Alligator mississippiensis: one gene and its partners. The protein of the gene in region 1 purifies or fractionates together with the protein of each later gene. This does not show direct contact. Links are inferred from orthologs where the notes say so. Each region holds a gene or a part of one and is shown in the gene's direction. Other genes may lie near its edges. The genes, in order: PRKCZ, LLGL1, NIPSNAP2 and PARD6G.

Region 1 (7,083 bases):
GTCCAGCTCATCAAGAAACTTGATAATGAACTTTAGTGGGCATTACTTCAGGCCTTTGGTTAGTATCAGCTCAAGCAAGTCTGAACTACTCAAAAATTTAAAATAGCAAGAACCCACCAACAATTCCTTTCCAACAAGGGCCTCATCCTACTCGGTCAAGGAGTATTGCAGCTAACCCTCATGGCTACAGTGCCAATTGCTACCACACTTAAAGATATTCTTTGACTCTGTTTCACAGTTGTTAGGGGCTGGAAGAGATCTTACAGATCATCAGGTCCAGCCCCGCCTGCACGTGAGCAGGAAAGCCTGCTGGGATCAGACCCCAGCAAGATGGGCATCAAGTGTTGTTACCAACCTGTGGTTTTGTCACTGAACTTACTCCTTTGCATGCTCAATCACAATTCATCACATAGGAAAGGGAAAGAAAGATCTAGATTCCACAGATTTGCTGATGCTGCATTAAACAGCACTCTCATATTTGTGCTGGATCTGATCAAAGCTACTTTTCAAACACAACTCAAGTATTTCCAAAGAATATATTTTTCCAATTTTTTCTTTTCTCACAAAAGGACCAGTTCAATTTCTGGTGTGCTCTTAAATATGAAAAGAGGACATCAGGTATCAATAAAAGATACATTTTTCCAGTGGTTCCACCCACCCTACCCACCTTTTTCTTTCTAAATGTGGGATCAGGGCTTGAATCCTTTATTTCAACCTAGCACAAATTGGAATTACTGAGTTAGAAGCCTCTCAGAAATAGTGTTAGTAATAGGAATATCTGCAGATCTTTAACTTTAATTGTAGTGGGCCCTCATATAACAACTACCAATTTATTAGGCTGAAGGTAGTTTAATGGCATATGAAAAACGTAATGTTTTACAATCTGAAAAAAATCAGGTTTGGGGACATATTCAGGATTTCAGGCTTTAGGCCAACCAGAGTTGGCTGTTTTTCAAAAATAATATGCCAGGTACAATGATCTTACAATATGTAGCGCTTGCAAACCTATTACAACCTTGTTAATTAATCCATAGAGCAAAACGGACATCATATCCAAAAAGAGCCATCTGCCTACCCTTTTCCAAAGGCATGGGGAGCATCTAATAAGAAATGAATACATTTTAAAAATAGTGAGCACTTAATGAAACATTCCAAAGCAGTAACAATTGAGACATTTTTGTTAAAATTATAAAAGCTATATTAATCAATGAAAGAAACCCGTAAAGTGATACATTTATAATATCAATAGTTTGCTTTTTAAAGTCTTGTAAATATGCATGGTAGTTTTTTATGTACAAGATGTGATGGGGGAGACATTTCTCCCTGTAACAGGGAGCTGGAGGCTCCTGTTACTTTTAAGGGGAAAGGGCAGCAAACCAGGCCTACTGTGGCAGCTGAGCAAAGGCCGGCTGCTAGAAAGCAAGCAACTCAGAGGCAACAGGGATAAAAGCTGCAACTGGGAGTGCGTATCCTGGAGCTAGGCAGAAAAAGGGGCAGAACTCTAGGCAGCCGGGAGACAGTAAGGGGGAGCATGACTTGCTGTGGGGTAATGACCCAAAATTGGGTGCAAGTTTTGGTTTGAAGCAGATGCTTATGTTTCGACCAGAGATTTGGACTGTGACTATGGGAGTGGTCTGAAGGTCATAGGAGTTCTGAGTCAGGCCCAGGGCATAAGTCCCTGTAAGGAGCAGGGACCCAAGGGTGGATGAGAGAGAAAGAGCAGCATCATTTCATGCTGGGAACAGAGGTTGAGACAGGGCCAGGATTATTGCCCCTAAAGCACATTGTTCCCTAAGGCAAGGATACAGCTAGGAGTGCCACCATTTAGTGTCTGAGGTGCAAGACAACTACCAGTTGGGCGCAAGTAGTACTAGGGTTCTCGTTAAACAGCAAGCTGAAATGAACTGAGGGTCACTCTAAAACCATGGGACAGCCTTCCTAAGTGCCATAATATCCATCAAGGTATAGCAGAAAAAGGAAGGGTACTCTGAGGGGCTGGACTGGGGCAGGAGTAGTTTGCCCACTGCGGGCATCACAGTCATCCTTGGGGCTGGTGATATCACATTCCCTTCCCTTTGCCCTCCCCCCTCACCCCATCCCAGACCAGAAAAATTGTAACGCTAGCTACTTCGAAAAGTTTTACATCTAAAGATCTTCCAAACCTTAACAGGCTAAATTAATTACTTCCAAATCAGGTGGTGTGAAGGTAAATCTATATATAACTGGACATGGCGCAGTGTAGTGATATCTAAATGAGCTAGCTCAGCTAGCAAATGCAGGACAGCCATAGCAGCCTACTACTCCCTGCAAGTAAAACTAGCTTTTGTGGGCCTTGATGCGACTGTTCCCATTATCTGAACTAGCTGGAGTACCTCCACATGCCACTGCAGAACTTACTCTAAGTATCATTAGCCCAGAGAGGGAAACTGAAACAGTTTTAAGGGACAGTTTTGAAACCTTACTGGTGACTCCATTGGAGGGGTACTAATTCTTGCTTAGTAGGAATAAAGATTGTCAAATCAAGGCCTCAGTGGTTTATACCTTCTTTTGCTTCTCTCACCACTACTTGGGTGCACAGCTGGAAGTAAAGGGCCATAGCTGGAAATAAAGCTTTACATTTCTTCATTTCTACTTTAAGTTCTCTACGAGAAAGAGCAGTAGAATAAAAACCTCTTTTATCCATCTCAATTAGCAGTTATAACCCCTCAATACCTCTAGGGGAGATCAGCTTGTTTCCTTTGATGCATCTTAGATGCAGGCCATAACAAACATTTAGATAGTCCAGCAGCATCACCAGTACATATATACCATCCTTTGCTTGTTTGAGGTTTGTATTGGGTTTGTGTTTTTTAAATCATTGGTGATGTTGCTTGCTTATTTGTTTTTCTTAGTCACTTCCTCTGTCCCCACATTTTGTGTGTGTTGATCAATTGTTTTCCTCCTTTGAAAATATATTTAAAAGATTTGTTTGGTGTTTGACTTGTGTCTCCTTTTCAAAAGACAGGATGTCTAAATGAAACAAAAACAGTTGCTGAAATGGATCAGGATCCAGTCTATTGGTTTGTCCGCCCCCTGTGCTCAGATGAATAAGGACAGAAAGATATGGATTTTCTTGAAGAGGTCACGAAACTAGCGGAGATGCTAGTGAAGACGTGCTTTCTGAACTGGACTGGAAAATGGCTCGCTGAGGAACTTCTATTTTGATTGCACGTTGAGGCTTCTTTTCATTGATGAACTTATTAATTGGTTTGGAACTGTTACTTTTACTGAGGGATGCAGTGACCTCTGCTGTTCCAAGTGTGCCTGGAAATTGATTACATAAAGATATATAAAGTAGCAAATTGCCCTTTTTATTAGATATAAAGTGCAGAGAAAAGGCCTAAAATTATAAAAGAAAAATATGTGAAAGCGTAGCGCACACTTGCACAGCAGAAGGAGCTGCCACTGAACGTGCAAGGCTTACCAAGTCTCAGGGAGGAGGCGTGGGTTTCCACAGACGCCTCCTGTTGCCACAGCGATTCCGTGGGCCATAATCTGTGGCCCAAGAGGTGATGACACAAATAACACCCTGTTTTCTATCACGGGACACACTGAAGTGCTTCAGAAACTGGACTTCACTTCGCTCCCAACTCCAAGCATGCGCTCCAGACAGGGAACCGAAGTGATGTGCCTGCAGCAAAGCCATGCAGAGCTGAAAGCAGAAGCCAGGAGTCCCCAGACACCAAGGCTGCCCTCTTTTTGAGATCCTTGCCCCCAAAACCCTCCTAGAGCTGCGAGCAGGAGCCCCAGGGCCCAGCAGGCCCACGGCCCTGAGGCCATCCAGCCCCGGTTACTAAGTAGATTAGCTACGTTCCCCCATCCCCTTTTCCTATTGGCTGCAGGTGTTCGCTTGCCTCCTCCTTTTTTTTCATTGGTTGCATGGCCCCTGCCGGCCAGGTAACGGATGCGGGCTTTTGATTGGTCAGACGCGGGCGGGATCCCTCTTGGGATTGGCTCCAGGTGGGCCGGCGCTTGCTATTGGCCGGCAGGTAGCGTGGGAGGCGCTCTATTGGCTGTTGTGGGCGCTAACCTGCTGGGTCCGCCATGTTTGGAGTAGTGGCGCCGGTGCCGCCGCAGTCGCGGAGCGGGGGGCGCTGAGCCGAGCCGAGCCAAGCCGAGGTGGGAGCGGGGCGGCGCGGGGCTGCGCGGGGCAGCGGGGCTCGGCCGCCGCTGTCTCAGCCGGCCGGGCCGGGGTTGCGGGGGTCGCCCCCAACTTCCTCACGGGACTTCGGGCAACTTCCAACGCGGGGCGGGGCGGGGCGGGGCGGGGTGCGGGGCGGGCTTGCCCGGGAAGGGCCGGGAGCCGCCGCCGCAGCAGGTAGGCGGGCAGGGGCGAGAACAACTGCAGCCCCTTCCTGGATACAGGGACCCCCCCTCCCCCCCCCCCCGAAAAACAAACACCCCCGCGCTGCCCCGAAACCTTCCGTGGGCAGAAGGGCTAGGGGCCAGAATAAACCACGTGGCCCAGACTCCGGTGGGAAACAGCAGCCCCCTGTGAGACTCCAAATACACCCCTGTAACTGCCACCGCTCCCAGGGGTAGGAGCCAACTGGGGTAACGGGGTCTTCCCCAATCTGGGTGGGGCTGGTCCTGCTGGGGGTGTGAGTGTTTGGGGGGGTGGACGAGCTGTGACCTCCCGGGGTCCCTCCCACGCTCCGTGTCTGTCGTTCTGGGAAGTGTCCATCTACGTGTCCATCCCCGAGCTGCCCCAGCGTGCCTCCGATTTACCTCCCTCCCTCGCTGCAGGTGGAACTAGCCTTGGTTTCCGATACAGCAGTGTTTTTCATGTGTGCAAGCTGCTTTGGACGTGGAAAAGTGAAATGTTGTGTGACTAAGAAGAGAAAACCTAGGAAAGAGACTTGTAAATAAGGGGATCTGATCCTTGCCATTAGTCTTTTAAGAAAAGATTGTCTTTGCAGTGTGTTTTATTTGTGATTAAAGGGCTGAAAGTTTAATTAGGAAATGGTTAAAAAAAAAACCCCCAAAACGCCCTTGTCAGACACGGCTTTGTTTTGTCCATGCAGTTGCTGGATGAATGTTTTAATTGGTGGAAACAGGAATCTTTTGAGGCCTGATCTTCTGGAAACCAGAATAATCGTGTAAAATAAAATGTAACTAGCCTGATTAAGTTTTACTACCAGTAACTTATTTCATAGTCATTCCTCTGCGGGACAAAGGGCCCTATGGATGTAAACAGTCCAACTGCTTTCTCAGGTGTATTGTTTAAAGCAGCGGCTCCCAATTTTTTTTTACTGCGACCTTAAACCCAGGTCATGACCCCTGCTCTCACCGCCAACTCACTTGTGCCCGACGGCGCCAGTAGAGCCCAGGCCGGGCCAAGATTGTGGGGGGGTAGCGGTGGTGAGAGCCGTATGGACCATGTACCGAGAGAGCCCTGCAGGCAGGAGGGGCAGAGCAAGGCGTGGACCCTCTATGACCCTGGTTTACGTCTTGCCCTGAGGTTGGGAGCCACTGGTTTAAAGTGACTGGGGTTTCCAGGATTTGGCTCTGCACATGTAAATTTATGTTGTATTTCAACAATTCTTTGTGTGTGTATGTGCATTTATATGCTGCTTTTCTTTTCTGTGTGCAGATGGACAGGGTATCAGCTGGAAATTATACCTGCTCATTAGAATTCAGCACAAGATCAGTTGTCTTTTTTGAATGATTTGAAAGATTCTTCCATACACTGGCAAAATATTTTTATTTAGACTGCTATCAGTATCATGCCTAGCAGAATGGGATCAAAAATGAATCTGAACAGAGACTTCATCAGAGTAAAAACACATTATAATGGGTAAGTTGAACAGTTTTTCAGCACTACATCGCATGTGGTTTCAGTTTGCACTAACAGAATGCACTGTAGTCTTACTTGATTATAGAGTTGTAGAAATCTATGATACTACAGGTACTAACAAATCATTCCAGGTACAAAGTTTGTAGACTTTCTTGGGTGTTAAAATAAACTTAAATCAGTTGCTACTTTATTGTTTATGGTGGAGTTCTACTTCCATTTAGGCATCTAAATGGCAGTTTTCCAGCTACATAAATAATGTTTTTCACATGCAGTTCATAATTGTGTTTTCTTTTACAGTGAGTGTTTGTAGTTCTAGACTGAGAGTTGCAGTAGGTTATACTGGCCAGATGTGCTTTTTCCAGGACTTATGAATTATATCACAAGGGGCTTTCTTATGTTTTAGCCCTCATAGCTGAGTGGTAGGGGCATTTACTCCAGCTTCTTGAGACTCGTGTTCTAGACCCCATTTGCCCAGAGAAGGTTTGATCCTCCACCTTTCTTACTGCCCAGTTATACTGCTGTAACCACTATGCCACTAGGCTCTTTAATGTTCCTTTAAAAGCTGAGCCACTGCCCCTTGCTTTTAATAGTCATGAAGTAAAATGGATGGAGAGCAGTTTTATGTTGTGGGGAGGTTTCTGCCCCATTGGGAGCAAGGTGCTTCCTTCCTTGTGTCAGTAATCTGAAAGCTGAAATGCACACAAGTTTGCTTTCTTCCTCCTGGCCCCACACACATCCCCGTTGGCTGCCCAGAGGGCTAGCTTCAGAGGTATTCTAGAGAAGACACTCAGTATTATGTGCCCTTAACAGTCCAGGCACTGTGCTGGGAAGTCGGAGAGATGCAGATTCAAACCCTTGAGCTGAAACACAAAAGGGCCACCCTCCTCTTCCTTGCTTTTTCTGGGATTTATTCTCGTGTAGGCATGTGTACCCAGGAAGCATGTAGCCTACTGTGCATGTTCATTCTGCTTGTGTATCTATACTGCAGGGAAAATAAAATTGAAAAATGTGTATAAGTGGCAAAACTGTTACCTGTGTGACTGGAAAACTATTATTTAGATGCACCAAGGGAAGTGAAATGCTGTCCCTGGTCTCTAAAAACTAGTGAGAGAGAAGTTTCTGGTTTGTTCTTTTTTACTTGCTGCTGCTTGGTTTTGTTTCAAAACTGATTCAGAATGGTGTGTGTTTAGAAACAGATGTACTATATCTAGGTGTATTTGCTGATCCAGTTCAACCCTTTCTGAGAA
Region 2 (7,857 bases), about 42 Mb from region 1:
GGCGCCGTGTCCCAGTTTGGGGTAACACAGCCGGGGGCTGCCGGGAGTTGACTCTCCTGTGGCCGCAGTCACGTGACGACAATCAAGGCAGCCCAGGCTCGTACCCCAGGCACCGGCGGGGGCAATGCCTCCGCTTCTGGGGCTGTCACGTGCGTGTCGGCCCCTAGCAGCAGTTAAGGAGGGCTCCGGTCTTTCCCCCCATGCCTGGACTCCCGTGTTCCCCTCGCCGGCAGAGCATCCTGACCAGCGCCCACTCGTCTGTCCTGGGGACGGGGCCCAGAGAGCTGCTCCCCTCCCGCTGCACAGAGACCTAATTAAAGACCTCTGACCTTTGGCTTCGTGTCTCACGACCCCATGCCCTGTCCCCATCCATCACCCAGGAGCGCTCGGCCTGGCTTCTTCCGGGTTTTCCCCGATCGCTCCTTGCTACAGACACCTCTGGCTTGCAGAGCTCATCCCCTGCAGCAAATGGGACGGCACAACCTGTACGAGGTGGGCTGGCACCATGGGTACGGCCAGCAGACGGGCACCCTCGTGCCCCAGCCCCATGCATATGGTCTCGCCCCTCACACCGTTGCCTCTTCTCGGGGTTGAGGCATGAGGCAGGGTTTCTTCCTCCCACACGTTCCCCCGGTGCAGGGCCCAGGTCCAGCCACCCTCTCCACTGGGCACGCGGGCCGGGTTTGCTCCGGGCGGCCAGCGCCCGCCCCGCTGCTTTCCCGAGGGCTGCAGGTTTCCAGGGAAATTCCAGCAGCAGCTGCGTCGCTCTGGCCCAGAACCGCGGCTATTCTTGGCAGCTCCAAAAATACCCGAGCGCTGCCTCCTGCTTCCTGCACCTGGCGGACGCATGCGCCTCCATCCCCATGCAAGCGCATGAGAGCCCGGGCAGGGAGGGAACGGCACGAGGGTTGGGACAGAGGTGCCAAGAGGGTGGGAGGGCGATGCAGGATTGGGGCCGGCAGTGAGGGCAGAGGGGCTGGTCCCAAGATGGTGGCGGCTCGGTCACGCCTGGGGTTGTTCACTGCGGGGAGTGGCGAGAGCCTGCAAGGGGGTTACAATCAGGGTGGGTCTTGGGCCAGTCCCCGCAGAGGGGAGCGTGATGCCCTGAACGAGGGGGCCGCATCCTGACGGCCTCCCTGGAGGAGGCTTCTTCTTGCCCTGCCCTTCAAGCCACCATCGGTCTCATGTGCTAAAGCTCATTTAAACCATAAGCAAAGCCTCTAGCAGTGGGGGAGCCCTGGGTCCCGTGTCTTGCACGGGCCTGGCCCACGTGTGAGCCCAGAGGAGGCTGGAATAGACCAGCCTGGCAGCACAGCCTCGTGCTCAGGGGCTGGACTGGGTCCTGGGGGCTTGGAGGGACAGCTTTGCACCAGCCTGTCGTGCCCCCGCAGCAGCCCCGTGGCACCAGACCTGGCTGCCAGTTCGCAGGGACCGGGGGCAGCGGGACGTGGTGCCTGGAGACGTATAGGAGGGGTCCGATGGCAATATTGAGGCCGGTGCTGAGCAGGGTGCTGTAGGGCAGGCACCCCCAGAGCCAGGCGGGCAGGGGGGGACAGCCTGAGCTGTGGGTGATGGAGCAGGGGCCCGGAGAGAACGAACCTGGCTCCGGGCAAGCCAGGTGCTCGGGGCCAGGAGCCCGGGGTCTCTGCAGGCTGCTGAGCCCCGAGGCGCGGCCGGCATTGAGCCGAGCGCCCTGAGCTTGGCCTGGCTGTGCTGCAGCTGCACCGCCGGGGCTTCCCGCTGCTTGCGAGGGCAGTGCTCTTGGCAGCTCTCACGATGCATTGTGCAAACCCTGTGCACCGCGGGGAATTTGCAGCTGGGCTGCGCCCTCCTCCCAGCCGCGGCAGATGGAAATGAGCTGCGGATCTGAGAGCAGGTGCTGGGGGCTCCCGGAGAGCGCTGGCGGCATGCACGTCCCTGCCCCAGAATGGGGCTGGTCCTGTCCTCTGCCCTGTCCGCAGTGCCCCTGGCACCTGGCTGAGCCCCTGCTGCGGTCACTGGCACGCAGCCACCGGTGCATGGTCCGGGAGCATTATTACGGGGTAAGAGCAGGCACATGGGCGCTTACCCCAGCTCCATCCTACTCCAGCTGTGGAGCTCAGGCTGGGAGCATGGGGCTCCCAGCTTCTGTAATGACCCCACTGTGCTAATTGGCCCAGGCTGCGCGGTGCCCGGCTGGTAGCTGATGTCACTGCAGGGCAGGGGCTATAGCGAGGCGCTGCCGGGCGCTTGAATTCAAGGGGAAATGCCAGATCTGATCGGCCCTATCCAGGCTCCTACAGCATCTGCAGGAGGTCCTTAAAGCCCCAGCTCCAGGAGTCAGGGGATGCCAGAGAACCGGGGGAGTTCCCAGCCCTCCCGGGTGCTGGGAAGAGCTGGCCAGCTGCCCCGGGAGGCTTGGGGACCAGGATGCAAAGAATAGCAGTGTTTTAGTAATATAATAATAACAACAACAGTAACAATCATCATCATAAATCATTATCCTCATCACTATTGCACAAAGCCTGCGGCTTTTGAGCCAGTCTCTCAGGCCTGGCCCACGGCTCGGAGCAGCTGGGAGTGGCTGTGCTGGAAGCCGTCAGCATTGGACTGATTTGTTTCCTGGGATGGGATGGGATGGGATAGTGGGGGGGCCCTTCATGGCAGCTGGGGGTGAGCGTGTGTGCACACGCATGTGTGTGTGTGTGTGTGTGTGTATTTGTCTGTCTTTATGGCAAGTGTGTGCGGGGGGGCAACAGGGTTTGTGTGTAGGGAAGCTTTTGGGACGTGTGTGTGTGTGTGTGTGTGTGTGTGTGCGTGTGTGTGTGTGTGATGAGCTGCTACCCAGGCTGGGGTGGGTGCGGAGCCAGTTTCTTTCTTCTCCCGTCAGGGCATCATGTTTGGGGGCAGAAGCTGGGCGTGGTGCCACCCTGCCCTGCCCTCGTGCCCAGCCTCACCCTGCCCCTGCCCACGGTCCCTGCCTGCAGCCGGAGGCAGAGGCGCAGACATGCGGCTCAACCAGTCGCCCCGTGCCCCAGCCGGGTGAGTCACGGCTTCCCGGCCCCGCGCCTTGTCTCCGCACCAGCTCGTTCGTCTGCTTGTTCATCACAACTAGCTCTCCCAGCCGGGGCTGGGCATGCGGCAGGAGGTGGGGGCCGGGGACAGGTGGGTGATGCCCTGACGGGAGCCCCAGGAAATGCCGACATCCCCAAGCCCTGCTGCTGCTTCTGTCCCAGCTGTGTGCACGGCGCTGTACAGACGAGTTGAGAGCGGGCCCTGCCCACGCACACCTCCAAGCAAACGCAGCATGCACCACCGGTCGGGAGGGCCTGACTCAGTGTTTCCTGGCTGTGACTCGGGCAGATGAGGCCACGTGTCTCATTACTGCCCTTGCCTTCGCCCCGGGGGCCTGCACCCCCACGGGACAGCGCTGGGTCCTGGAGGGTTTCCGCTAGACATCCGACAGCTCCTGGCTCAGCGGTGTCACGGCTGCCAGCCTGTCTGGTGATGCCGGCCAGTCCAGCTTAACACCAGGGGAGAGTTTGGCCCAGCTGCCAACAGTGCTGTACTTTGCTCTGGATGCAAATGGTTCTCATTAGTTCGCTTCCACTGCACGGTGACGTGGATCTCCAGGCGCGGGGCCTGCCCCTGCAGCGGGCCACCTGCCCCAGCCCCTGCCACGGCCGCCCCGGGGGGCGCTAAGCACCATGCCGGGGCCTGCAGGGCAGCTGGAGGCAGCCCAGGTGCAAAAAAGGCTGATATCTTCCCCCTCCGCTGGAAACACCCCTGGGTTGGTCTACACGGGTGCACTGCTGGGTGCTCCCACCCTCCCAAAGTGCCCGCTGCCCGGCCTGATGCCCCAGGGTTATGGGGGTTCCCCCACATGGCAGCCGCTGCCCAGGCAGAGGCAGCACTGGTGCAACCACTTGGGGTGCGAATTTGCACCCTCCCTGCCCCCCACTGTCTCAGGGTTAGAGGCCCTGTACCCATCTGGATAGGTGGCACCGCTTGCCCTCGGGCTTGACCCTGCTGGCTGGGGCATCCCTATCCCACATTCACCTCCCATGGTTAGGACGCCCGTGCCCTGCCCTGGGTGCTGCTGGATGCACCCCCGGAGGGAGCTGCCCAGGGAGCCCGGGGCGGAGGCAGGTGGGAGACGCACAGAGCCTGCACTGCAGGGGCAAGGACTTCAGCGGGGCCTCTATCCGCGTCTAAGGACCAGGGCACGATCCCGCCTGGATTCTTCTTTCTTCCCTGGAGCTCCTGCATGGCCCTATCGCGTGCCAGAGGCTCCAGGAGCAAGACGGCCTCTGCTCCGGGAGTCGGGGGGCAGTGGGGGCACGGCGGGCATGGATTTCACTCCCCACCGCCCTTTGGCAGGGAGCTGTGCCTCCACCTGGGGGTGACTGAACGAACCCAGCGCCCACAGCTGCAAGGGGTTGAAGGCACCTCCTGCTTTTCCTTGCAGCACCGTGGGGCACCCCCAGACCCCAGCTGGGGGTTAGGTGATAAATTGCGGGTGCCCATCACTGGGGGGTTGCAGACGGTGTGGGCACTGACGCTGTTCCCCCGCATGTGCCTAGGGGTGGCAGGGCGGGGCCCCCCAGCCCCAGGGCTGCTCTGAGCCCTCTGCAGGGCAGCGCCGCGCCCCGCCGCCAGGGGGCAGGCGAGAGCAACGCTGGCAGCAGGAAACTACATCTCCCAGCCTGCCTCGGGCCGGACGCGGCGCACGCGCACGAGGCGGTGCCGCCCTCCCTGGGGAGCCGCCCGGCGCCGCCCGCATTGTCTGGTCGGCGGGGCCCGCAGGGGGAATCGCTGATTGGCTGCCCTGAGCGTCACTCAGCCGCGGGCCCCTTGAAAAGAGCCGCCCCGCCCCGCCCCCTCCCAGCAGGGCGCCGCGCGGCCGAGGCGGCAGCAGAGTCCGATCGCGCCCGGCCCGCCCCGCGTGGCCCCGGTTCGAGCCCCGCCGCCGGCACCATGATGAAGTTTCGGTTCCGGCGCGGGGGCCACGACCCGCAGCGCGACCGGATCAAGCAGGAGCTGTTCGCCTTCAACAAGGTGCCGCGCCCGCCCCTGCCCCTCCCCCGTGCGTGTGTGTGTGTGTACAAGGGCTGGGGGGGTACGTGTGCATCCTCCTCCCTGCTGTTGGGGGGGGGGGGTGAAGCGGTGGTGGGGACGAGGCTTGCACACCCGGCGGGAAGCAGTGTGTGTGTGCGCGTGCAGGGGGGGCGGGGTGTGCAAGGGGTGCAGTGTGCGTGCAAGGGCGGGGGGTGTGCCAGGACACATGTATGGAGGGTGTGCATGCATATGCATGTGCGGGGGGTGTACAGTGTGTGTGTGTGCAAGGGAGGTGTGTAGTGTGTGTGTGTGCATACACGGGGGGTGTGCACGCAGGGGGGCGCAGTGCGTGTGTAAGGGGGGCCGTGCGTGCAAGGCTGTGCACGTGTGGGGGGGCACACATGCCGCGGGCCTCACAAAGCAGCGGGAGGCTGGAGCCACAGCTCGGGCTTTGTGCGGCCCCTTCCCTCCCCTCCCCGCCTCTCCGACCCCGGCCCCTCTCGGGTGCCCAGAGCCCCTGTGCCAGGCTCCAGCAAACCAGCCTCGGCCCCGGGCGAGGGGACGGTGGGGCCCCGGGGGCTGCTGCCCGGCCCTTGGGTTGGGGTCCCCACGCGGCCGGGGGCCTTGGGGCAGCGGGATGTGGCCCTCGCTCCGGGCAGGGTATAGCCCCCGGTGCCGGGCGCTCCTCCGTCAGCAGCCTGCGCCCTTTGTCTGGGCTGCCCCCTCCAGCAAGCCCTCTGGGCTCTTTCCCTGGAGCGGCGACCTGGCTGCGCTGGGGGGACCCGCGGCCCCCGGCTCTTGGCTGTCCGGCCTTCGCCCACCTCTGCCTCCTGACTGCTCGCAGAGGCCCCGTGGGGACGGCAGTGAGCCCCGGACACGATGGTGCATCCCCTCCCCACGGCTGCCCGGCCAGGGCCCCTGCAGGCATCCCCTGGTGCCCGGCCCCCAGCCCGGGGCTGCGCTTCGTGCCGGCAGCCCGTGTGGGACGGCTCGCCTGCCAGGAGCCGGGCTGCGGACTGGGCTAGGAGAGGAGGCTTCTCAGGGCCTTCCCTTCCCCGATGCCAGCGCTCCTGTTCCTCGCGGGCTCCAGCGTGAGGAGGTCCCACCTGCCCCAAGGAGCTTGTGGCCCAGGTAGGGGGGTCCCTGCTCCACCACGGTCCCCCTGGGCCTGCCAATCCCCGGTGGCTCGGACTCGAAGCACGTGGGAGAGCTCTGGCCTGTCCTGGGATGGAGCCAGATGGGGTTGTTACAGGGAGGGGGCTCCTCTCCTCCAAGTGCCTGGTGTGACCGGAGAAGGGCAGGGAAGTGCTGGGCTGTGCTCCCTGCTGCTGTCGGTCTCCATTGTTAAGCAAAGCTGTTTGGCTTTGAGCAAGGCTGGGAACGAGCAGACCTGGCACCTCTGCGGACCCCAGCGGGGAGCAGGGGGCAAACGGCTGAGGCTGCTCTCTTCTCTGCCCTCGAGCTTGCGTGGGAGCCTGCAGCAGCGCTGTGCATCGCTGTGCATGGCTTGGGACACAACCGTCTATTGGGGAGAGGGGCTGTGGACTCGCTCTCGGGGTGTGTGGGTGCGTGGCACGGGGAGGCGGTGCAGGAGCCCTGCAGGAAGCAGGGGGCTAGTCCGTGTGTGCATGCCGCCTTTCCTGCCTCGGCTCCCCAGCATGCAGGTGCCTCTGCATGGGGCTGAAGCTGGTGGGTTTTGGGCCCCGCTGCACATGGAGAAGGGCCAAGCTGCTGCAAGGGTTTCCATGTGGAAGCCGTGGTGGCTGCCAGCAGCCTCCCCTCCCAGGCATGTCATGCTTTGGGGAGCCGTCCCCCCGTAGAGCAGCCCCCTGCAGCCAAGCCAGCACCGTGGGACCAGTTGTGGCATGCTCCACTGCAGGACGCCGCCTCCATCGAGCTGGCAGGTAGCGGGGAGCTGGCTGGGGGCTCCTGAGCTCCCTTGGCCCCACAAGCTGCTCACTCCAGCGGTGCTGCGTGCCAGCTGCCAGGTTTGCAGCTGGGGCAGGTGGAGCATCCACTGGGCCTGGTGCTTTGGGCTGCTGTGACTCGAGCGTGTGCTGAGCCTGGAGCCGGGACTGGCCTGGCTGGTCCTGTGGGGTTGGCTGGTGTTGTCGAGCTGCTGACTGGCCCTGTTGCACCCAGGGCGGGCAGGCTAATGAGTCGTCTGCAGCTGGCGGTAGAAGTCCTGCACCATGGCAAGGGGAGATTTGCTGGGTCACGAGTTATTGTGTCGCTCCCGGTCCCAGAGGTCGGTTGCTGGCCTGATCTCTCAAGGACCCTGCTAGTAGCCGGCGGCTAATTCTGACAAGGGGGGGTTTTGGCCGCTGTCCTTGTCAGAAATGGGTCGATTCGGCCTCTATCCGGGGATGGGGCTGCAGCTGCACAGCAGCCTGCCCTGGATACCTGCTTCCACCCCAGCTGCCTCCTGGAAGCATGGCCTTGGCCTTCTGGGATGCCACGGGGTCCAGGACATTCTCCAGTTGCTGCAGTTGGTCTCCTGATGAGCAGGTGTCTTTGTGACTGGTGCTCGATCCCCAAAGTAGGGCAGAGGCAGGGCTGGATGAAGGCTGGTAACCTGAGGGCTGCGTGTGGTGGGTGCTGACCCAGCACATGGGGCGACGAGATGCCTTTGCAGATCTGGAGGCTGCCAAAGGCTGCTGCACCCGTGCGGGGAGCACGTTGGTCATCTCTCAGCCTCGGGGCTGCTGTGCTCTTGGGTGTTTGTGTTGCATCATGAGCATCTTGACCTGGGGAAGAAGAGGGGTCCTGGGCGTGAGTTAGAAGCCCCACATTTGCCCATTGTTGAGGTGCTTTGCAGTG
Region 3 (7,395 bases), on another chromosome or scaffold:
ATAAGTGACAATTGTCTTCATTTAAACTGCGTATTTTTTCTGGTTCACCACGCTGAAGTTGGCTGCTTTATTATTAGACATACTTGTGGAAAGGATCCCATAGAGAATTTGCCAAGCTATGCCACTGTTTCATTGTAAGTTTATGCTAAGTCCAACCCAGCACTGGTTGAAGTCAGTGAAGTTTTGTTACAGTACAATAAAAGCCACATTTCAAGGAAAAATTAGTTCTTTATAATTCAGCTAACTTCCAAAAACAAAGGGAAAGTGGATATGTATTTAACACCGATAAACTGCAAGATATATCCCTTTAAGCTGCCAATAAGTATCCGGCTCCTGACAGACAAGTTACAAAGTACACACACACAAGAAAATGTTGTGAATGCAGTGCTGCAAATGAAATTAGAGATGTTTAGAGTCTTAATCTTCTAATAAGAAAAGCTAATTAAGGTGCCAAATCCTGCTAAGAGATACAGGGATTGATACTCTGAAAGCTGTAATGCAGAAAGTTCAGTCTGTGGCGACTGGAGATTAAAGCTGACTTTGTGCTGCTGGAATTCCAGGCTGCCTGGAGACCTGAGCACCCCTTGGCAGGTGATAGAGCAGGGCTGTAGGGCTCTGCTGCTGTGATTAATAGCAATTTCTATGCTGAAAGCGCAGGGACACTCTCTTCCAGGACCTAGACTTAAGGCTTGCAGGCTGCATGTGTTGGTCCTATGTTGATGCCATAGGAAGAACATACCAGAAAAGGAATCTTCCTCTATATAGGTGCATAGATTTTCCTGTGTATATCCTGCCATAGATTTTTATTTGCAGCCCAAATAGGAGTATCGTGTCACTTGTGCCTACTTCAGCCTTACTCTATGGAGTTTAAAAGCCGCCCTCTAATTTATATGCCTTCCAATTAGTCCTTCATTCCTGCCCTACTAGGGCTTGCTCTGTAATTAAAAGCTTTGTCTCCCAAGGTTGCAGTGTGCCCAGTGCTGCACACTAGCTGTTCCGTAGCCGAAGAGGGATTATGCCTTTGTAGGTCTAGCCCTTTGTTTTAGTGTCCTTTGCCTTCGTTAAAAATGCCTGAAATCCAAACAAAACAGTTTATAGTTTACGTGAAACAAAACATTTTTGACAGGAAGTGACTATTTTTATTTGCCTCCAGAAAGCTGAAAAATGTTTGGGGTTCACCCAAAATTTTTTTTGTAATGATCTTTTTCAGTCTAGCAGACAAACCAGAAAATCAAGTGAACTGTAGAGCTGTGACTTCAGGCTGTTGGAGATTTAGCCTGGTGGTTCATTCTGTTCAGATCTAAATACGATAGTAACCCACAAACAATCTGAGGCAAGCTATTTTTAATAAAAAATAACTGTAATACTTATCAATAACGACCAAAGCTGCAACACCATGCTTTCGCATTTCATTGATACTGAAGGACACTGCATGCACATTTCTGGATGCGTCTTCACACAGTTTACAGTAATATCTAATCATTATGCACCCAGGAAAGTGAAACTCTTTATTTCACATTTAAAGTAAAAGTTAAGTGACTTGGGTTGCTGTGAACAAAAATTAAACTCATAGCAAGTCAAATTTTTCCATACCATTGGGCATTCAGGAGTAGCTATTAGGTGATGAAAATAACTCTTAGCCTCACTTAAATATCAGTGAGCACAGCTACAGAATAGTTATCTTAGCAAAAATGTTGCAGTGCTGTATATCGTTCTGATCTGATGTTGGTATAGTTTTCATTCACTAGTGAATTTGTCTTTCTGTATTTTCTTTCTGTACTTTACCAAGTGGCATTGATTCGGTCAGAACAAGGTCAGTTGACATCCTTGCTATTTGGAGGTCTTTTCCCTGGTCTGGAAAAATACCCAGCAAATAGATCTTTTACTGAAGCTCCTGTTGGCTGATAAACCAAAGGAAAGAACGGTCATGGGGACAGACCTGTGTATTCGTATCTTACCACTGCTGTTTCCAAAACGCATCTTTATGAGAACTAGTTTTTGTATAATTGATATCTACTGTCTACACATTCATTCATGTGCCATAATTATGCAGAAACAGATACTAACAATGCACCATAATCACTGCAACTGCGCATTAGCGTAGAGGAACACTTTTTAGGTGATGCTTAATGCGTATTGGATTAATCTGCACATTAGCATGGATTTTGCCAGCTGCGCTAACGCACAGTAGAATTAGTCTACCGGGCATTAAGCATCTTGTGTAGACGCACCTACTAGGGACTATGTGATGCTATTTATAATATAATCTTAAAATCCAGCTATTACTTCAAGGTAGTAATTTCTCATCTAGGTTTCTGTGTGTTTTTAGAGTTCTGCCCTTAAAAAGAAAACTTAGTTAAGAAAAAAAAAAGTCTTCTAAAAATGTTAGTCTCTCTTTTTTAAGGTTATTTTAAGAGGTAATGCTACTTCACACTGCGCGGGGTCTGGGTCAATTGAAGCCCTAGTGCTACTGCAAGAGGTGAAGGAAGAAAACATTACACCTTCTGCGGAGGGTGACTTCTCTTTCCTGAGGAAGGCTGCATCAAGCAACCCAGCCCTTGTTTTTTACTTGAAAAGCATTGAAGCCTTGAAGCTTATCTCTTTACACACACGTTGCGCAGGGTTTTGACCTAGACGTATTTCCCAGACTCCTGCCAAGTTGCTTCTTCCCAGCCCCAATGGCAGCAGGCGTACGCGTACGCAGACATTTGCACCAGCAAAGCAGTGCTGGCTGGTGCCTGGCAGTGCCCAACATTTGCTGGTGTTTTGCCCGTGACTCTTTCCCGGGTCTGATCCGTGGGAGACAGGCAGCCCCTAGCTCCCTGCTTCCGCAGTCTGTCGTGCAGGGCGATGAAACCTCTGGCGTTGGCACAGAGGCGATGCTGCATGGCTGTGGGGGGTGGGGGGGGGGTTGCTTTTTTCTTAGTCCCTTTGCGGGGCGGAGCCTGGCTGCCCACCGCGTGCTCCTCCAGCCTGGCCGGGGGGAGAGCTGGGGGCGGGGCCGGGGGCGGGGCTCCCCCTGCGGCCGCCCGGAAGCGGGGGGCGGGGCGGAAGCCGGAGCAAGATGGCGGCCCGAGTGCTGCTGCAGCCGAGCCTGGGGGCGGCCGGGCCTCGCGGCCTGGCCCTCAGGTGAGCGCGCCGCGCCCCGCGCGGGTGGGGATGGCGGGGGTGGGAGGAGCTGGTTTATTCCCCGCGTCGGCTCCCGGGCCCACCCCGCTCGCGGGGGGGGGTGTTTATTTCTCCTCGGCAGGAGCGGGTCTGACGGGCCCTGCAGGGCCTGGGGGCGCCGCTGGAGACGCGGGTGCTCATCGCGGAGGTCAGCCTGAAGCTCCCTTACGATCGGGCGGGGCGGGGCGGGAAGCGAGGGTCTGCTGGGGACTGAGTCGTGGTGCGCTGGGGTTGCGCTGGTGCGAAGTAGGGTGGCCATCGCGGAGGACGGTCCGGTTGTCCTCTGTTGATATGAAACCCGATGCCTTTATGTCCTCTATTTGTGTCTCCAAGACATAAGGCCGGGACTTGGGGTACGACTTGGGATGCTAGGCTGGGACCATTGGTACGAAACCCGATGCCTTTGCATCCTCTATTTTTATTTTCAAGAGAAAAACAGAGGACATAAAGGCATCGGGTTTTGTATGGATAGAGGACAGAGTAGTAGGAAACCGGGATGCCCCCGGCAAGAAGATGGGACCAGGTGACCCAGTGACCTCTTTCGTAGCAGCGAGCTACGGGATCCTGTTCTCCCCGTTGTGCCGAGCTAGGCGATGCCTTCCAAAAACCGCACCGATTGAATGTGACCTGCAAATTCACTCTGTACTAATTAGGGACACTTTGATCTAATTCCAGAAATGACATTTGGCAGCAGACGTTTCCTCCTTTAGAAGAGCGTTATTGTTCGGTTACACGAGGTTAAAGTTCAGATACTCTGTATGCTTTTTATTTTCTCTGCTTCTGTACTGTAACTCCAGAATCGGATTGATCTTTAAACTGGAATTTTGTTTATAATCCTATTATGTGCCTTATAATATTTCTGTTAGAGGAAATTAAAGCTGTTATTTTGTTAATGCAGATAATTGTGTTCACCTTTTCCCCCAACAAATTTTAAAAGGAGTTGTGGGTTAAATAGCCTTTTGCATCTGTTTTTCTGCCCAAACACAAGCACTTCAAAACAGTGGGAAACTCCTGATACCCCCTGGGGTGGAATTTATCTTGTAGTGTAAACATTTAGTTTTATCTGAAGGTAACTGCATTTATTCTAGAATAAGACATTGTCTTCCAGAACTATGGAACTACGCTACAAAATGTATTTTATTTTTTTTGAGCGTGCGTGTTTAAAAAGACATGATTTATCAGAAGATGTGTTGATTAAAAAATCAGTCCTTAACTGTCTCAAACTGCACCCATTTTCAGAAATGTCAGTGTTGCCAATCTCTGCTGGATGGGAATAACAACAGCAACAAAACAACAATAATAATGCCTTGTTTCTAAAGCACTTTCCAGTTCTTGGTTGAAAGATTCAGTGCAGCTCTAAAACATTACTCATTTGACCATTTCATTGAAAAACTGAGAAAACTGCCTCCACCCCCACCAAATGACTGTCCTAAGCTTCTGGCCACATCAAACCACAAATTCTGTGAATAGTGGTAAAGTTCATATACAGATAAGGAGGTAAACATGCTTGCTGAGCACTTTCATTTTCACTGTTTTACCAATATTATTACCCATTCCTCACAACACCTTCCATGAAAGATAAATACTCATTAACCTTAACTATGAGAGAGGGTTTTTTGGGGAGGGAATAAAGCAGGGTGGTTAAATGACTCCCCCCAAAATAGCAAAGGAAGTGCTTCAGGGGTGGGATCACAACTCATGGATGCCCTGTGAGCCTTTGCAGTGCGTATGGGGACAGAGAAGAGTACAGAACGAATGCATGTCTTCCAGCCCTCCGTGCCCTAGCAGTATTTCTGGTACAAGACACCCTTTTAAATATTTACTTTTAGGAAAGCTGTATAACTTCTACACAATAGAGTGTTTGTTTCTTTGGCTACAGTGAAAAAAAATTAATGCAGTCTCCAGTAAGTGGAGCACTGAGAGGTTTTTACTCACTTCTTTATGTTGAAGGTCACCTCGCTCCCAGTTGTTCTTTCCCTTGCCATCACGTGTTTTTTGCTTCCTCAAAAGCAAATGCCCAAATCTAGTCTGTATAAGTGAACTGCAAAGCATGTTAAAATAAATTCCTTTACTCTTGCTCTAAGATGCAGAAAGCCTACTGGCTCAAAGATTTTATGAAAGAAATTTATTTTTCCAATTTCTTTTTCCTTAATGATTTTCACTGCCTTTTGAGAACCTGAAAGACAGTAATTCATTTAGACCCGGGGCAGGCAGTAATTTTGGGTGTGGGGCTGCATACTGAGTTTTGGCAAGCCATCGAGAGCTGCATGACAGGCAGGGGCAGATAAATATTAATTTTCTAAATTTTTTAGGAGCCCCGCGGGCTGGATAGAATGGTCTGGCGGATCACATCCAGCCCGCGGGCCGCATTTTGCCCACCCCTGATTTAGAGGAACTCCCTGATAGGTCTCCCAGGCATTGATTAGAAGCAGGAGAGTTGTCCTCTGAGGCTGGAGGAATCAGTTGAGGTTTAACCCTCCGGTTGTGATGTCTCTTAAGCATTCCAAACTTGCCAGAATTATTTAGGGAAAAGGGAAGAGTGAGGAACAAAATACTTCTAATGGTGACAAGGAGGAAAAGTACAGTATAAAGAATCAGCATAAGATGAATGCTTTTTATTGTTTGCTTTTCACTTTCAATGCAAGCTCATTACTATTGTTGTGAACTGAACTAATGAATCACATCTGGTAGCTGAGGTGGCCTTCTGCCAATTAGAAAAGAAAAAGTCCCTCTAGTGTACTCAGAGCATGATTACCTGTTATGTTTTTATTGTTTGTTGTTGTAATAAAGTCATAAATAGCTAATTTGAGTGTATCAATTCTGTGAGCACTCAAACATGCTATTCAAGCTTTCATCCATCAAAGTCAGTGCAGTTGTTCCAGAGCAAGAAAAATTGTAAACTGAGCAAAGACAGTGAATCTGTATTCTGATCATTAGAACTGCTCTTACTCTGAATTAAAATCTATGCAGGCTTCAGGGCCCCTGCCACTCTTTAAGTCATTTCCAAATTAGCTTCTCTGGGGCGGTGCATTAGTTTGTCTTTTGCAAAAATTTATTTTATAAAATGCCATAACACACATGGTGTTTTTGCTGTCATTCACAGTGGACAAACCTGTTTATGCATACTGCCTTCTCTGCACCTCCTTTTTCCTGTTGATTATGGGTTTCTTGAAAGACCTAGGCAGGCAAGGTTCTTTGAGTAGAGGTGATATCTTTTATTAGACCAACTGAGTAGTTGGAAAAAAAATGTTGGCAAGCTTTCAGGCACAACAGTCACCCTTCATCAGGCATAGGGAGTCTCTCCTGTTCTGAGACTCCAAGAAATGAAAGACCTCCACATTGTGCTTGAGCAAAGACAGAGTAGCCTTAGTTTTCTCTCTTGGCACGGCTATGATCAGTGTAGGAACAGGCAGGGTTTTATGCCACATATTGTCTTGAGACCTGATATAAACTAGAACAGCTCCAGGATACTAAATGTGTGTCTGACTGTAGTAGTCCATGGGCCCGTTGCATCAACTAAGAACGGCTCTAGCACAGCAGCACTTCACCCACAGCTTGCTGTGCTCCTGCTTCCTCTGCATGCAAGGGGTGTAAGAGGGGCAGTGTTAGGCCAGGTAGAGCAGTTCTGGGCCATCCAGGGATGTCTTTACAGTAAGGATGTGCTTTGTTGAGTACACATGCACCTGTTGCATTGCTAGAGATTAGATAATAGAAAAAATTAGCACCATACCTTTGTATAAGATACAATGTGACTGATTTAAACTTATCTCAGCTGTTTTCAACAATCCTCACATTTTGAATGAACACTCAGTGACTGCATATTCCATTAATGTGTAGGGGACTGGTATCCTCAACTAACAGAGCCGGTGAAGACAGCTGGTTAAAATCACTGTTTGTTCGCAAAGTTGATCCCCGGAAAGATGCTCACTCCAATCTTCTAGCCAAAAAGGAGACCAGCAGTCTGTATAAAATACAATGTGAGTGATGTTTTCATATTTAACAGTTTATTTTCTTTATTCCTTTCCTGTATTTTTCATTGACTTTTTTGGGTTTTTTTCAGTTCACAATGTAAAGCCAGAATGCTTAGAAGCCTACAACAAGCTTTGGTAAGTGTGCATGTTATTCACTGTGATTTTGGACATATTAATTTGTTCTGGGGGAGAGCACTGAAAGCTGGCTGGTCTGGGTTGGCTTTGTTATGAGAAAGTGGAAACCCCTGTTCTTACT
Region 4 (7,924 bases), on another chromosome or scaffold:
CGCCCAGAATTGCACGCAGTACTCCAACTGCGGTCTGACCAGCGCCCTATAGAGGGGAAGTATCACCTCCTTGGACCTATTCGTCATGCATCTGCTGATGCACAATAAAGTGCCATTGGCTTTTCTGATGGCTTCGTCACACTGCCGGCTCATGTTCATCTTGGAGTCCACTAGGACTCCAAGATCCTTTTCCACCTCTGTGCCACCCAGCAGATCATTCCCTAGGCTGTAGGTGTGCTGGACATTTTCCTCCCTAGGTGCAGCACTTTGCATTTCTCCTTGTTGAACTGCATCCTGTTGTTTTCTGCCCACTTGTCCAACCTATCCAGGTCTGCCTGCAGCTGTTCCCTGCCCTCCAGCGTGTCCACTTCTCCCCATAGCTTTGTGTCCAGGAGTTTCGTAACCTGGTCATAGAAAGAGACTAGATTGGTCAGGCACGATCTGCCCGCCACAAACCCGTGCTGGTTTCCCCTCAGCATAATTTGCCCTGCCGGGCTCTCACAAATGTGAGCCTTGATAATTTTTTCAAAGACTTTACCAAGGATGGAGGTGAGACTGACTGGCCTATAGTTGCCCGGGTCCTCCTTCCTCCCCTTTTTGAAAATGGGGACCACGTTAGCCCTTTTCCAGTCCTCCGGGACTCAGCCCATGCACCACGAGCGTTCGAATATTCCTGCCAGTGGCTCTGCAATGATGTCGGCCAGTGCCTTCAGCACCCTCGGATGGAGCTCATCCGGGCCTGCCGACTTAAAGGCATCCAGTTCTTCCAAGTGACTCTGTGCCACCTCAGGATCTACGTATGGAAGTCTGGTGCCTTGCTGCTGCCTCTCTACAACCCCAGTGAGAGACTTGTCGTGCCCCTCACTTAGGAACACTGAGGCAAAGAACTCGTTGAGGAGTTCAGCTTTGTCCCCCCTGTCTGTCACCAATTGTTTCTGCCCATTTAGCAGGGGTCCTATTCCTCCCTGGGCCTTCCTTTTACTCCCAATATATCTAAAAAACAATTTCTTGTTGTCTTTTACTTGGGTTGCCATCCTCAGCTCCATGGTAGCTTTGGCCCGCCTAACTGCCTCCCTACAAGCACGAGCAGAGGAGGTATATTCATCTTTAGTGATCTCACCCTGTTTCCACTTTTTATGTGCTCCCCTTTTGGCCCTTAGGCTGCCCTGGATTTCTCCGGTCAGCCATGGAAGCCTCCTGGCCCCTTTCCCTTTTTTGCCTCGCTCGGGGATCATCTTGCTTTGTGCCCGAAGGATCGTTTCCTTTAGGCACAGCCACCCTTCTTGGGCTCCCATCCCTTCAAAACTCCTACTCTGCAGTGTGTCCTTGACTAATCGCCTGAGTGCATTGAGATCAGCTTTCCTAAAGTCTAGCACTTTCACCCTACTAGTTACCTTACCCACTCGACCTCTTATGTTGAATTCTATTATTAGGTGATCACTGTCTCCCAAATGGCTACCGATCTGGAGGTCCCCTGTCATGTCATACCCTGTTGCCAATACCAGATCCAGTATGGCATTCCCCCTAGTGGGACCGTGTACCTCCTGTGTCAGGTGGAGGTCCTGTACACAGGTTAGAAACCTGCGTGAGCGGTGGGACCTTGTTGTCTGTGTCTCCCAGCAGATGTCCGGGTAGTTTAGGTCCCCCATGACTACCGCCTCTTTAGCTTTTATGGTCTCCGAGAGTTGCCTCAGGAGCCCCGCATCTATTTCTTCCCCTTGGTGTGGGGGTCTGTAGCAGACCCCTACCACCAAATCCCTTTCTCCTTGCCCCCCATGTAGCCTAACCCACAATCCTTCTACTTCCTCAACTTTGGATTCTGTCTTGATGAGGGTTGATGTATATTGGTCACTGACATAAAGTGCAACCCCCCCCCCCCTTTCTTCCCCGACCTGTCCTTTCTGTACAATCTATAGCCCTCAATATGTACCGCCCAGTCGTGGGATGAATTCCACCAGGTCTCTGTTAGCCCCACTAAGTCATAGGTGTTTAGTGCAAGCAGGAGCGCTAGTTCATCCTGCTTGTTCCCCATGCTCCTAGCATTAGTATATAGGCACTTGAGCCCTGCGACTGGCGCCTTTGCTGCCCCCCCGCTCCGAGTCCCAAGGGGCCCATTGTTTCTTACCTTCTTGTTTCTTACCTTCTTGTTTCTTACCTGTTCTGTAGTGCTGGTCTCCCCATAGCTTTCAGGTTTCCAATGTCCTCCTTCTTCAGGCTGAGCTGTCCTTGTGGGTGCCACATGGTTTGGTGGTCCACAGCTTCCCCTGCCCTCATACTCCCCTCCCCTCAACGAGCCTAGTTTAAAGCCTGCCGGAGGAGATCCGCCAACCTAGTAGAAAACACATGCTTACCTTTGGGGGACAGGTGAAGCCCATCCCAGCTGAGCATGTCCCTCGTCGTGATGTGCGGGTCATTGTCCAGGAAGCCGAAGCCTGCCTCGAGACACCACTGCCGAAGCCGCCAGTTGGTTTCTCGGATGCAGTTCTCCTGCCGTCTTCCTCGTCCGGTCACTGGTAGGATGGAGGAGAAAACCACCTGTGCACCGAACTCCTTCAGCACGCCACCCAGAGCACTGTAGTCCGCCATCAGGTGATCGGGGGTTCTCCTGGCCGCATCATTAGTACCCACATGGACTAGGACCATGGGGTAGTAATCGGTGGGCTTGATCCTGGCCTGGATTACCTCCGTCACATCCCGAATCTTTGCTCCAGGGGGGCAGCATACCTCCCGTGCCAAGGGGTCCTGGCGACAGATGGGTCCTTCCGTGCCTCTCAGGATGGAGTCGCCTATGACAAGCACTCGTCGCCTCCTCCTCTGGGTCCTCGTGGATCTCTTGATCTGTTCGGAGTGTGAAGAACGTGGTGTTTCTTCTTGCCCAAGGGTTTCCTCCTCCCCTTCCATCTCCTGCAGGGTCGCTAGGGCCTCGTACCTGTTCACCAGTCGGACTGGAGAAGCTGGTACCGACCGGTTCGCTGCGAGCTGCTCTGGTCCTGGCTGTGACCGTCTGCCACTCTGCTCCGGAGGGCACTCCCCGGGCTGCTTCTTCCTTGAGTGCCTGGGCCTGCAGGGAAAGGAAATAACTGTCAATTTCATCCTCCGCCTCCCTGATCCCCCTCAGCCTGCTAACCTCCTCCCGGAGCTCCCTCACCTGCGCCTCCAGAGCCCTAAGACGGGCACCTGCCGGACAGGTGTGGGGGCCCCCAATCTCTGCCCCCCCCGGCCCTGCTGGGGATCCCCCACAGGCCAGGAGGTAGGGGGACATCAGCTCCCCCATGGGCTCGGTCTGGGTGGAGGCCTCAGACCAGCCCCAGGTAGCCTTGTCCCCCTGGGCAGAGGCCCTAGCAGCACTCCTCGTAGACACCATTCCGAGCTGCTGTTTGTAGATCTGTGTGGTGTCTACGCCCTACCCCTACAGGAGTCTCACTCCTGGCCCTTCCTGCCTGCCCGCCAGCGCGAACACCTGCGCAAACGCCGGCATGCTCTTACAGAGCACGCCTGTTAGCGCGCTCTGTTCGCTCCGCGCGGCTCCCTACCGGCTCAGCTATATGGGACCCGGGGGGCTTCCCCTCCGGATCCAGCTCAGCTGCGCCAGGTCCCTCCGCCCCACTTACCTTCGGGGGATCAGCTGCTGCTGCCCCTGCTGCCGATTCCTCTGCTGCTGCTGCTGCTGCTGCCGCCGCCACCGCCTCTGGTCAGTCAGTTGGTAAAAGGGGCACACGTGCGTGCGGGACACACGTGTGCCTGGCTCCTCTCCTTCCCGCTGCTGGTTCCCGAGGGAAGGAACCATATTGTGTATATGCACAATACAGGTTTCCCTTACTTTATGCAGGTTCTATATGTGCCAATTCACTTTTATGCAATGACCCTTTTTATACCAAAAATTTGTTATACATGAGGTAAATTCACTCTTGTGTGATCGGTGTGCTGGAACCACCGTTTTGTGCACTGTGTTGTGGGAGTGACCCATGCCAAAAATATACTCTCCTGTGTGATTCTGTGCTCCTTGCTCGTTGGCTACAACACTTTTATATCGCTGCCATCCCCATTATGATAGTGCCCTGTGTAGCTGTTGGTGAGTACCAAGATTGTCTTGTAAAAATGGTAGGAATCGGATTGGGGGTGAGTACAGTCGAGGTCTTGGAACACAGTGGCGACGCGTAAGGGGTGCATGTGCACCCCCTAAGAGTGCTGGTGGTCCCCCCGACAGCCACTTCAAGCTTTGGGCAGGGAGGCCAGGTGAGAGCACTGATGTCCCCCCTGCGAGCGCCAGCCAGGCAGCAGGGCTGCTAGGTGAAGCAGCTGCACTTCCAGGTGGTGCAAGAGTGCTGGTGGAGGAGCAGGGCCGCCAGCAGAAGCAGCCACAGCCACTTCCATGGCTGCTTTTTGGTGAGTGAGACCAGCCGTGGGGGGACCCCCTCCCTCCACAGTAAGATCTAGTCCCTGACTGGTCGCTGTGGGGACGGGACATGCCCCCCCTGACTCAAGAGGCACCAGTCACCCATGTTGGAACATATCCCTATTTGTTACATTGTAAAGTGGGTTCCCTGTATGCAAATTCAAGTTACACGCTGCTTCTCAGGAAGGCATGTACAGTATAAAATGAGGGAAACCTGTATTAAAACTTTTTTTTGCAACTGTAATTTTTCCCCCCCCATTTTCGGGCCCCCCCTTTCTATCCGGGCTCCAGGCAGTTGCTGAGTTCGCCCATGCCTGCATCCAGGTTTACCGGTACAAAAAAAGTCGAGACCCCCCTATATTACGCCGCCTCACGTACCCAGCCCCCTCCCGCAGCTTCTCCAGCCAGCAAGAAGGGCCGTGGGTAGCCCTGCAAGCGCACCCGCCGGAGGCAGGAGGAGGAGCCTCCCTCCCGCGGCCAGGGAAGGGGCGCGGGTTAAGGGGAGGCCGGCCGGGAGGCGTGGTCCGGGCCGGGCCGGGCCGGGCCGGGCCGGGCAGCCTCCCTCCCGCCCTGCCTTTGAGTCCCGGGCGCGCTGCGGGCTGCGGCGGAGCGATTGTTCGGAGCGGAACGCGGGGAGCGCGGCGGGCGCTCGGATTGGCGGGCGGGACAAAGGCTGGAACGTCCGGAGCGGCCGCGTTCCACCGGAGCAGGAGCAGGGGCAGGGGCAGGGGCAGGGGCAGGGGCGGGGGCGCTCCCCGCAGGCGGAGGCAGCTGGGCCGGCGGCCCCTGCGGAGCGAGGGCGGAGAGGAGGCGGCGGCCGCGGGGAGACGCGGGGGGCCGGAAACATGAATCGGAGTTTTAACAAGTCTCAGACTCTGCGCTCCCCCGATTGCAGCGCGGTGGAAGTGAAGAGTAAGGTAAGGAGATCGCGGGGCGAGCTCGGCTGGGGACGCAGCAGCTCCTTCTTCCTTCCTTCCTCCCCCTCCTTGCCAATGAATGGAGGACCCCCCCCCACCCCCCCGAGCTTTTTTTTTTCTTTGGTCGTTGTTTCTCCTGATGGAAAGTCTGTCCCAAGTTATTGCACAGGGGATTGCGGGTGGCAGCTGCTCTCCTTCTGTCCTGGGCGGACTGGGGGGATGCTGCCTACCCCTCCGCCCCTTGCATTGGCGGGCAGAGCAGCTTGCCTGAATATCTGGGGCGCCCGGACGTTGTTGGTCCAGTTTTGCAGGCAGGGCAGGTTTGTGCTGTGTGGGCAGCGCGCTGGTGGCCAGGGGCTGTTGGCACAAAAGAAGGCACAAAAGCCGAGGGTTTGAGGGGCTGGAAGCCCACTAGGCTCTGTCGCAGCCGGATTCATCCTGAAGGGAAAGGGGGTAGAGGGGGTGGGCTGGGCTGGGCTGGGCTGGGCTGGGGGCGCAATGCTGCAGCTTTCCACTCTGCTCCCTTTCAAGTCAATCTCTTGTTGCAGTGGCTTGGATCCAGAGCAAGCAGGAAAAAAGTTTGCCAGCTTTTATGTAAACCGGCCATTGTTTGGCTGTGCACAGCCACTCAGGAGTTGAGTGTGGACTTCGGGGAATGCCCGCAAGGTAGCTGTGGCTGGCCTGACAAGGCAGACCAGACAGGCACACGCGCGCACAGTGAGAGAGAGCGAGAGACACGCGCACACAGTGAGAGAGAGCGAGAGACACGCGCACACAGTGAGAGAGAGCGAGAGACACGCGCGCACAGTGAGAGAGAGCGAGAGACACGCGCGCACAGTGAGAGAGAGCGAGAGACGCACGCACAGTGAGAGAGAGCGAGAGATGCACGCACAGCGAGAGAGCGAGAGACGCACAGTGAGAGAAAGCGAGAGACACGCACACACTGAGAGAGCGAGAGACATGCACACATACAGACTGAGAGCAAGAGAACAAGACATGCAGACAGAGAGTGAGACACACACACACAGAGCAAGACACACAAGCACACAGACAGTGAGTGAGTGAGATGCACACAGAGCGAGAGAGCGAGACATACACACACAGAGTGAGATGCGCACAGGCTGAGAGTGCGCGAGGCATGCGCACATGGTGGGAGTGCGTGCGAGGCACGTGCATCACACGGCTGTGCATGCGCGCATACGGTGAGAGTGCGTGACACTGAGAGACTCACGCAGAGTAAGGCACACAGCAAAACATACAGCACGAGACAAGTACAGTGAGAGACATGCACACACACAGAGTGAGACGCTCACAGACCCAGAGAAACATGCGCATACACAACCGCGCGCGCGCACACACACACACACACACACACAGACATGCACATAGAGAGTGACACACAGAGACAGAGAGAGACGTGACACACAGTGACAGACACAGAGAGAGAGAGAGACACGTACACAGGGACACAGATGCACAGACAGGGACACACACACACACACACACACACAGACGCACCCATACAGAGACACGCACACAGACTTTTTATAGGAAACTCATCAAAATTGCCTCGGATCCCTTTTATCTTGAGCGGGTCTAGCAGCGGCCGCCCCTCTGCTCTTCCAATTTTTCAGGCTCCTTTAAGCAAGCTCAGCCTGAGTCAGTGCTGTCATGTTTGCTTCACATCTTCAGCCATGCAATCATGTTTAAACTTGTTTGGGTTTCTGTGATCATCTGATTATCTGGTGATTTCCCCCCTCCCTTTCTTTCTTTTCCCCTTTGTTGGGGAAAAAAGTTCAACTCCTAAGAAGCTGCACGTTGTCCTCTGGACCTTCTTTTGGAAAGACGAGACCCTTGCTATGTGCATCCTGATCTGCCCTACCCCCCATCCCTTCTAGCTTGATGGCTTTCTGAAGGGCCCCCTAGGGAATGTTGAACTTGAGCAAGCCTGCCTGCCTGCCTTAGAGCAAGGCAGCCAATGACAGGGCTGGTGTTTGTAATGAGAAGTAAATTACATCCATCTTAAATATATACTGAGACATGAGACAGAATTCCAGCTGCTTCCGGTTCCCAAGTAATAGTAAACTAAAAAAGCCAGAAGAAATAAATAAATAAAAATCCATGAAGTGAGTTGCAGAGCAAGATTCTGCACGATTGCAAGTAATTCTGCTGTCTCTCCAGCCGTAGTTGAGAACCTTTACTGTGGAACAGTAGAAAACTGTCAAAGTACTTGGCATAAGGGGCCAGGTCCTCAAGAGGTATTTTAGGTACCTAGCACCTGTTGGTTTCAGTGGGAGTTTGGTGCCAAAATCACTGAGAATCGAGGCTAAAGAGGACTAGGGTTTCTTCCTGGTCTTGCCACTGCCTTGCCATGTGACTTTGGTCAGATCACTTAACCTCACTACCTTCATTTCACCATGCGTCTGATGTGGTAAATACCTGTGCAGTACAGTACAGGCAGTCCTCGACTTACAACACTTCAAGTTACGTTTCGTGCTCACAACGTTTATAAATTGACACCCTGTTTCAACTTCATGACATCAGTTTCGACTTTACAACGCTTGATCCAATGCAGCGCCATGCTAGCGAGCAAGTTCACTGCGTCGCTCAT

Evidence for each region.
Region 2: the proteins of PRKCZ (region 1) and LLGL1 purify together in Homo sapiens (affinity purification with mass spectrometry; 6 studies listed by BioGRID and IntAct, counting the BioPlex papers as one, with this or other methods). This does not show direct contact. The link is inferred for Alligator mississippiensis from reciprocal best matches to the Homo sapiens genes PRKCZ and LLGL1.
Region 3: the proteins of PRKCZ (region 1) and NIPSNAP2 purify together in Homo sapiens (affinity purification with mass spectrometry; 3 studies listed by BioGRID and IntAct, counting the BioPlex papers as one, with this or other methods). This does not show direct contact. The link is inferred for Alligator mississippiensis from reciprocal best matches to the Homo sapiens genes PRKCZ and NIPSNAP2.
Region 4: the proteins of PRKCZ (region 1) and PARD6G purify together in Homo sapiens (affinity purification with mass spectrometry; 6 studies listed by BioGRID and IntAct, counting the BioPlex papers as one, with this or other methods). This does not show direct contact. The link is inferred for Alligator mississippiensis from reciprocal best matches to the Homo sapiens genes PRKCZ and PARD6G.

Annotation. Positions count from the first base shown.
Region 1 is NC_081836.1:13,357,460-13,364,542, forward strand, and holds the start of PRKCZ (protein kinase C zeta type), read left to right. Parts: upstream 1-4,069; 5' UTR 4,070-4,158; intron 4,159-4,336; exon of another isoform or gene 4,337-4,357; intron 4,358-5,632; 5' UTR 5,633-5,765; coding exon 5,766-5,836; intron 5,837-7,083. UniProt on the Homo sapiens protein: Calcium- and diacylglycerol-independent serine/threonine-protein kinase that functions in phosphatidylinositol 3-kinase (PI3K) pathway and mitogen-activated protein (MAP) kinase cascade, and is involved in NF-kappa-B activation, mitogenic signaling, cell proliferation, cell polarity, inflammatory response and maintenance of long-term potentiation (LTP).
Region 2 is NC_081836.1:55,000,205-55,008,061, forward strand, and holds the start of LLGL1 (lethal(2) giant larvae protein homolog 1), read left to right. Parts: upstream 1-4,848; 5' UTR 4,849-4,956; coding exon 4,957-5,037; intron 5,038-7,857. UniProt on the Homo sapiens protein: Cortical cytoskeleton protein found in a complex involved in maintaining cell polarity and epithelial integrity. Involved in the regulation of mitotic spindle orientation, proliferation, differentiation and tissue organization of neuroepithelial cells.
Region 3 is NC_081837.1:10,248,833-10,256,227, reverse strand, and holds the start of NIPSNAP2 (protein NipSnap homolog 2), read left to right. Parts: upstream 1-4,381; 5' UTR 4,382-4,588; coding exon 4,589-4,665; intron 4,666-7,005; coding exon 7,006-7,145; intron 7,146-7,228; coding exon 7,229-7,274; intron 7,275-7,395. UniProt on the Homo sapiens protein: Protein involved in mitophagy by facilitating recruitment of the autophagy machinery required for clearance of damaged mitochondria.
Region 4 is NC_081826.1:113,746,954-113,754,877, reverse strand, and holds the start of PARD6G (partitioning defective 6 homolog gamma), read left to right. Parts: upstream 1-4,921; 5' UTR 4,922-5,241; coding exon 5,242-5,313; intron 5,314-7,924. UniProt on the Homo sapiens protein: Adapter protein involved in asymmetrical cell division and cell polarization processes. May play a role in the formation of epithelial tight junctions. The PARD6-PARD3 complex links GTP-bound Rho small GTPases to atypical protein kinase C proteins.